Canis lupus familiaris: one gene and its partner. The protein of the gene in region 1 purifies or fractionates together with the protein of each later gene. This does not show direct contact. Links are inferred from orthologs where the notes say so. Each region holds a gene or a part of one and is shown on either strand. Other genes may lie near its edges. The genes, in order: ZFC3H1 and MPHOSPH6.

Region 1 (4,604 bases):
CCTTCTCTAACACAGTTTAAATGAAGAAAAAGCTCTGTGCCCCCACAGTACTTTTTACACATCTCAATAAGAACTTTTTACATTAAAACTCTATTTATTCACATCGGTCTCTCCAACACAAATTCTAAGTTTCCTCTTTTGCATTCTTAAAAAACACACATGTAGGGCAGCCCAGGTGGCGCAGCAGTTTGGTGCCACCTGCGGCCTGGGGTGTGATCCTGGAGACCTGGGATCAAGTCCCGCATCGGGCTCCCTACATGGAGCCTGCTTCTCCCTCTGCCTGTGTCTCTGCCTCTCTCTCTATGTCTCTCATGAATAAATAAAAATAAAAAATAAAAAATAAAAAAAAACACACATGTATGTGCTTTAACAGCCTGTTTTTAGATTCAGAATCAACAACTAACAAAAACTTCCTTAAAAAGTTATCTTGGGGGCAGCCTGGGTGGCTCAGTGGTTTAGCGCCGCCTTCGGCCCAGGGCATGATCCTGGGGACCCGGGATGGAGTCCTATGGTGGGCTCCCTGCATGGGGCCTGCTTCTCTGCCTGTCTCTGCCTTTCTCCTTGTGTCTCTCATGAATAAATATATAAAATCTTTAAAAAAAAAAAAGTTATCTTGGGCACAGTTTTTCTTTCCTTTTTTTTGAAAGAACATCTTCTATCTTTTTTAAAAGTCAAATCCTTCTATGATTTTCTTTGAAACAATCCTAGGTGCTCCTCGCCTAACTTGTGGTTGCAGAATCAAGTGTTTTCAGGGCCTTAGCCCCAGAAGCTGCTGTGTACCTAGATTCTTATTTCTTGCCCCTTTACATGCTGACATCTGGGAAAGACCATTTGATCTTGAGAATTCTACAAAAACACCCTTGAGGGTCTTCCAAACAAACGTCATCACGTGTAAGTTTCATATAGAATGCGTTAAAAAAAAAAAAAATCATTGTACCGTAGCAACTACAACCGGTGATCACTGCAGGTGGCAAATCATCTTTATGCAGTCATCACGAAGACCTAGTTCTACAAACCCATCATAAGCTAGCAAACCTTCAGGTGGCTGACGCCCCAATATAAACCTTCAGTAAGCTCAAGAATCTTAAAGATAATGGGATCTGAGGGAACAACAAATCAGGTATTTTGCTATTTTCCACCTCCCCATAATCTCCACCGTCTCACACGCACACCGCATGGCGTTCAATACGCTAAAATCAGAACACTGTCTTTCTCTCTCTAACCTACATGGGTCAGCGCTGGGTCATAGAAGGTCCCAAAACTTTCGTGTATGTGCTGCCGGGGCGGGCACAAAAGCACAGAATGCCCCACAACGAAACATAGGAAGAGGAGTCGTCGTTTTAACAGAGAGTCGCTTGAATGCACCACCTGTGACTTGGACTTGCACGCAACCCCCCCCCCCCGCCCCCACTTAAAAAAAAAAAAAAAAAAAAGGCCGCGTGTGTAAGAACAGGCCGAGAAGAACCTTAAAGGGCGGAACCGTGCAGGATGGAACCTCACAATTTTCCACGTCAAGGTTCGATACGGTGCAAGCAACCGGATCAGGCCCTAAACTGTGCATCCCTTTTTATTTATTTATTTATTTATTTATTTTAATTCCCTCCTCCTCCCTGTAGCACTCGTAAGTCAACCTGGCACGCAGACAAAAGTTCCCGCCGCAGCGAGGGAGGGCGCATCAACCTGAGCTCAGGGCACCAGGGCTGCGGACCGACTAGGAGGAAATCTCGTTTCAGACTTCCCGGGGATCACTTTCGCCGGTTTGGCCCCCGAAGCGTGATACGTTAGCTTGCTTAATTAATTAATTAAAATAAAATAAAATAAAATAAAATAAAATAAAATAAAATAAAATAAAATAAAATAAAATAAAATAAAAGCAAATCCAGAGACACAATCCACTGCGCCGCGCGGCGACCCACCGAGGAGCCACCTGCTTGCTGGGAAGCGCAGGGATGGACAGAGGGACGGACAGAGGGATGGACCCAGGGACAAATGCAGGGACGGAGCCAGGAAGGGTCCCAGGGACGCACCCAGGGACGCACGCAGGGACGGACGCAGGGAGGACCCGGGTAAGGACCCAGGGCAGGACGCAGGGACGGACCCAGTGAGGGACGGAGGGACGGACCCAGGGATGGACGGAGGAACAGACAGAGGGATGGACCCAAGGACAAATGCAGAGACGGACGGAGGGATGGACCCGGGGAGGGGCCCAGGGACGGACGGACGGACGCAAGGAGGGACCCAGGGAGGGACGGAGGGACAGACGGGGGAATGGACCCAGGGACGGATGCAGGGAGGGGCCCAGGGGCGCACTCAGGGACGGACGGAGGAACGGACGGAGGGACGGACGCAGGGAGGGACCCAGGGAGGGACCCAAGGAGGGAGGGACGCAGGGCCACCGGGGCGCGGACGGGCAGGTGAAGGATACAGCTCTTCCGAGGCGGCGAGGGCTCCCGCCAGCTCTGGCCGCCGCCGAACCCCGAGCCCGCCGCTCCGGCCGCGGCGGGCCGGCCGCCGGGCTTGCCTCCCCGCTCGCCGCCGCCGCGGCCCCGGCTCCAGCGGCTGCCGCCGCGGTACGGCCTGCCCCGGAAGCGGAGCCGGTCCAGCGCGATGTGGCTGCGCTCCCAGAAGGACGGCCGCGGGCTGCCCTCCGACAGCGGCCCGGGCGGCAGGCGGGCGGGCGGCGGGTGCGAGCGGAACGGCTCCTTGGGCCGGTAGCCGGCGTGTCCCCGGAGGTGGCCCCGCTCCGCCGCGTGGCGCGGGCGGCAGAGGCTCCGCAGCTGCTGCTGGGACGACGACGACGACGAGCCGCCGCCGGACGCGCCGCCGCGGGCCGCAGGGGGAGGCCTCCGCCGCGCGTAGGGCAGCAGCCCCCCGGCCCCGCCGCCGCCCCCGCCGCCCCCGCCGCCGCTGCTGCTGCTGCTCCGGCTCCGCGCGTCGCTGTGGTTGTCGTCGTCGCTGATCTCCCCGTCCTCCAGCTCGCCCTCCTCCTTGGGCGACAGGCCGCTGGGCGCCGGCGCCGGAACCTCGGCGGCCGCCATCCGCGCCGCCGCCCCGCCCGACAGCGCCCTCCGCCGCCTCGGCTCCCCGCCTCGAACGCCGGCCTCCCGCGGCGGCTGCTCGCTCCGCCGACGCGCTCCGCTCCCCGCCTGCCCCGCACCCCGGCGCCTCTCGCCGGGCCGCCGCGGCCCGCGTCCCCTCGCCCAGCGCCCCCCGGCTCTTCCGCCTCGCGAGAAAGGGGGCTCTGCCCGGGGCTCGGCCCGCGACGTCACTTCCGGCGGCGCGCAGGAAGCCGGCCGCGCAGCTCCCGCGTCGTCTCGCGGGACGCCGCGGTGGTCGCCGGGATGTGTAGTCCCGCCTTGCGGGGCGAGCCTCCGGGGCAGGGAGAGGGGGGTTCGGGTTTTCGGGTTTTCGGGTTTGTGCTTCCCGCGCAGCGCTCGCGCCCCGCCCGGGCTCGCCGCTGACGTGGACGGCCCGGGAGGCTCCTGAGTGATGCGGGGAGCGTTGTAATGGCCGCGAGCGCCTCGACCGAGGGGGCGCAGTGATCCCGCTCCGTTTTAGGGGGGCCCCTTAAGGGGGAGGCTAACGAAGGCGAGCGCGGCTCCGGGGCCGTCTGCTGCGCGGGCTCCAGGCCGCCGTGCTACTAGAGACCCCGGGGAGGCTGACCCCCCCCGCCCGCACCTGCAGCTGCACCTGCACCCGCACCCGCACCCGCACCCGCACCCGCACCTCCGCCAGCGCCGCAGGACCGGATGACGGCGACGGGGACATGCCGACCAACTGCGCCGCGGCGGGCTGCGCCACTACCTACGACAAGCACATTAACATCAGCTTCCACAGGTAAGCGCGGCGCGGGTTAGGGACGCGGGCCCTCAGGTGCAGGGTCGCCGCTGCGGGCGCAGCCGGGGCCCAGCTGCCGACCCCACCGCCGGGCTCGTGCCCAGGAAGCAGCACTTCTGTCCTTTGCGCTGCCCTTCCCCGCCTCTGTCCCCCCCACCCTTCCCCTTTTTCTTTTTTTCTTCTTCTTCCTTTTTTTTTTTTTTGGTCCTTTTTCTCCCCGCCCTCCGGGAAAGATTAACTCACTTTGAAAGGGAAATCCGAGTCCCGCCCGGTGCTTACTCCCTGGGGGAAAAGTAAAAGGAGCATCCCGTGATTTCGTGCTCCGCGATGCATGGGCCTGGGTCTGCACGGGAATGGTGCCTTCCAAGCAAGCGAAACCTCCTGCTGCCGTCCAGATCGGGAAGCCAGGGGCGCCCCCTCCACCCCCGGGGCAGCACCTGCGTGACCCCGGGTCGCGCGGTCGAGTCCCCATCGGGCTCCCTGCAGGGAGCCTGCTGCTCCTCGGCCTGGGTCTCTGCCCCTCTCTCTGTGTCTCTCAGGAATAAATAAAATTAAAAACAAACAAAAACAAAAAAAACGGGAAGCGATCACTAGCCAGGTTGGCGTGGGAAGCATTTAGGTGCCTACCAGCCCCGCGCAGGTGGGTGAGCGCAGAACTGAGCTGTCAGTGCGGAGCCCGGCTTTCCTCCTCACTACGGTGCTGACCTTAGGTGTGGCTCCTCCATGGCTGCAGGAGCAATCCAGTCTTTCCTTCTGTCTAACCGGAG
Region 2 (3,373 bases), on another chromosome or scaffold:
ACCTGAATGGTCTTGTTTGATCCTGCTGAAATTTTGGAACAATACAAGGTCACTCCTGCTACTCATTGGCTGGCAGAGATTTCTCCCATACATACAATGCTGATGGAAGAGATATTAGCAGGAGACACCATTCAGATTAAATACATCTCAGGGAAAACAGTGCAGCTTTGTACCAGCCAATCTGGGGACTACTACTTTACAAGGAGTATCCTAAAACCCAGTGCATTTTCTTTCCTGGGGCCAGTAAAAACACAGGGACCCATGGAAAAGCAGCAAAATATGGAAAGGAAAATACAACTCTAGGTTATACAAGTGAGCTGCTAGTTTGGAAAGTGGTGACTTCTGTGTGCAAATGATTTCTTTGACCAAACAGAACAGGGCACAGTTATGAGTTAATGACTTTCATAATGATTAAAATAAGAAACTAATAATTGTTTTTAACCCATAAAAGCCAATCTCTTATGGTTCATCCTAGCACATTACCATATTCTCAATTAATGATTGGTTTCTTAAAGTTAGCATTTGGATAAAAGTTCCAATACTGAATTAGAATAAAACTATTATTTGAAAGCATAAGAGAAAAAAAGTATATGAAACTTATTTATTACAGAACAATTTTTATTAATAAAAGCTTTAAGCAAAAACTCGTAATTCCACAAACTAACAATGACTTGGTAGCATGCAAGTACTTCTGGCTAGAGAGGCATATTTATTCTTCATGAATTTACACATATAATAGGTCCTCATGACATTTGATTCCAAAATGTATGTATAAATTGGCTTGGCATGATTAATAACTTAAAGTAAAATATAAACATAAGGATAACTTAACAGTGATTTAATTTATGTGTGTCAATTCAAGGTCAGTGACTGGAAAGCCCTATTAAAAAAAAAATCTGAGGTCAAAAAAGTCTTTAGGAAGCAACCACATACCTCTGTATATTTGAAGATCGAGGGCTAAAAATCCATTCCTGATGAACACCATTAAGCAAAGGATGTATAACATCCACCACACATCTGTTTCAAAAATGGCACATTTCCAAAATTATCCATTTCTTTACAAATAAACATCATAGTATTAATAGCTACACAGAGGCCATCAGAATGAGTTCCACAATATGTTAACTCTTACGAGGCTTCCCTGAGCTCTGTCTTAAAGCATCTACTTTAATCCTGGGGCTTTAAAAACATCTTCTTTACTTTAACTGTTGGTTTTATGTGTCCATTTTCATCTTCTTCATAATTAGCACGGTCTCTCTTCTTGGCAAACTTTTTTCCAATTGTCCCCACCAAGGTCTCATATCTGTTAAGATGATATGCGGCACAAATTTAATTAAACAAACAAGTAGGAGTCAAGTCTTGTCAAGAATATTAAACCAAGTATACAACAAGAAAAATCGAAATGATTAAAAAAAGCTGTCTGATTTAAAATTTATGAACTTTTCTATGCAGAATTAAAATCTTCACTTTTGTTTTGGTACTATCCTGTATGAACTTGAGAGATATATTTTAAAATATGTCTTAGAAGCAGCACTGGACAAGAGCCCTCAACTGCTGGCCTGTGACAGGTATGAACCTGCCCCAGCCCACTTTAGAGAAAGCAGGAAGTCCTCTTCCTGCTGGGGCACCTGACAGAACAGTTGGGAAGTGGAGCACCCACGTGAGAGCCAGTGAATGCTGGGCCCAGGTTAGAACTAGGCTCTGAAGTGACTATTACCTTCTGGCCATTTCTTCATCTGACACATCAAGCTCCACTGCTTCACTTTCAACTTCTTCCACTTTGTTTTTAGCATTCATCTGAAGCATTAATTTCTGAAAAATACAGCAGTGCTTTCAGGGTTGGAACAGGCTTATTAAAGAAACTGATACCAAATGTATTTGAAGGTAGAGAAAGAAGAAGTCACAATCTATGTAAGTAGTCCAAATCTCTGAAGGGATGCTCTGTAATACTTTGCTCCACAATGTGACAACAAAAATCAGCCGTGAATGGAAAAAATGACAAAGCACCATTAGATTAGACTTCCTATTAATGAATTTAAATTGTATTTTATTTATTTTTTAAAAGATTTTATTTGAGAGAGAAAAAATGAGTGAGAGAGAGAACACAAGTGGCAGGGAGGGCCAGAGGCAGAGGGAGGAGACTCCCTGCCAAGGAGGGAGCCCAATGTGGGACTCAATCCCAGGACCCTGAGATCATGACCTGAGCCAAAGGCAGATGCCCAACTGACTGAGCCACCCAGGCACTCCTTTAAATTTTATTTTAGATTGTAAATCTTATTAGTTACTTACATCTAAAGCAGGCACACTGCTAACATACTCTAGTGAGTGGGGCAAAGAAAAAGCAAACTTTCAGACTTCCTCCAACTTCCCATCTTTGAGCTAAATATAAGAATATTACACTCAAAAGTGATACTAAATGCAGTTTTTGGTGGTGGTGGTAAATTACTGGATGGAAGGACTGGGAGGCTGGCTCTAACATCATGGGGAGGACTGGCTTCACCCCAGAATACAAGGGTGGATAAAGCATTCTACATGATGTCCATGTGCCATATAGTCTCACCTCCATTTCTTTTTCTCACATTAACATTTCTTGATCATTACCCCGACTAAAAAATTATTTTGGGGATGCCTAGGTGGCTCAGCAGTTGAGCATCTGCCTTCGGCTCAGGGCATGATCCTGCAGTTCCTGGGATTGAGTCCTGCATCAGGTTCCCTGTGGGAGCCTGTTTCTCCCTCTGCCTGGTCTCCATCTCTCTCTCTCTGTCTCTAATGAATGAATGAATGGATGAATAAATAAATAAATAAATAAATAAATAAATAAATAAATAAAATCTTTCAAAAAATTTATTTTTATTGTACAATACCTTCTTTTTAGCAAAGGCAGGATGAGGAAGGGATAGCAGAAGAGAAACTAGTTTCAATTAGCTTTTCCAACATTTAAAGGACTAAAGAGAAAATTCTGGGAATATAAGCTCTGTGAGGGCACAGAATTCAGTTTCCTGTGCGTTTCCAGTGCCTCAAGAGGATCTGATGAACCTCAGGTACAGAATAAATATTTACTGACTAAATAAACTCCATAGTAGGTGTCACTAAAGAGACATACAATATTAAAAATGTGTTCTCAGGGCGCCTGGGTAGCTCAGTCAGTTAAGTATCTGACTCTTGATTTTGGCTCAGGTCATGATCTCAGGGTCATGGGATTGAGCCCTGTGTTTAGCTCCCAGCTCAGTGGGGAGCCTGCCTGAGATTCTTTCTCTCTCCCTCTGCTTCCCCGCACTCTTTCAAATAAATCTTAAAAAAAAAAAAGGCTAAAATGTGTTCAAAGTACATCCTACTTATAACGAAATAAGTGCTCTCAAGTTGGTATCTTTTC

Evidence for each region.
Region 2: the proteins of ZFC3H1 (region 1) and MPHOSPH6 purify together in Homo sapiens (affinity purification with mass spectrometry; 3 studies listed by BioGRID and IntAct, with this or other methods). This does not show direct contact. The link is inferred for Canis lupus familiaris from reciprocal best matches to the Homo sapiens genes ZFC3H1 and MPHOSPH6.

What each region holds. Positions count from the first base shown.
Region 1 is NC_049231.1:13,582,582-13,587,185, forward strand, and holds the start of ZFC3H1 (zinc finger C3H1 domain-containing protein), read right to left. Parts: upstream 3,039-4,604; coding exon 2,426-3,038; intron 1-2,425. Other genes in the region: THAP2 (THAP domain-containing protein 2), read left to right, coding at 3,767-3,837. UniProt on the Homo sapiens protein: Subunit of the trimeric poly(A) tail exosome targeting (PAXT) complex, a complex that directs a subset of long and polyadenylated poly(A) RNAs for exosomal degradation. The RNA exosome is fundamental for the degradation of RNA in eukaryotic nuclei.
Region 2 is NC_049226.1:70,407,994-70,411,366, reverse strand, and holds the end of MPHOSPH6 (M-phase phosphoprotein 6), read right to left. Parts: intron 1,813-3,373; coding exon 1,718-1,812; intron 1,304-1,717; coding exon 1,168-1,303; 3' UTR 601-1,167; downstream 1-600. UniProt on the Homo sapiens protein: RNA-binding protein that associates with the RNA exosome complex. Involved in the 3'-processing of the 7S pre-RNA to the mature 5.8S rRNA and play a role in recruiting the RNA exosome complex to pre-rRNA; this function may include C1D.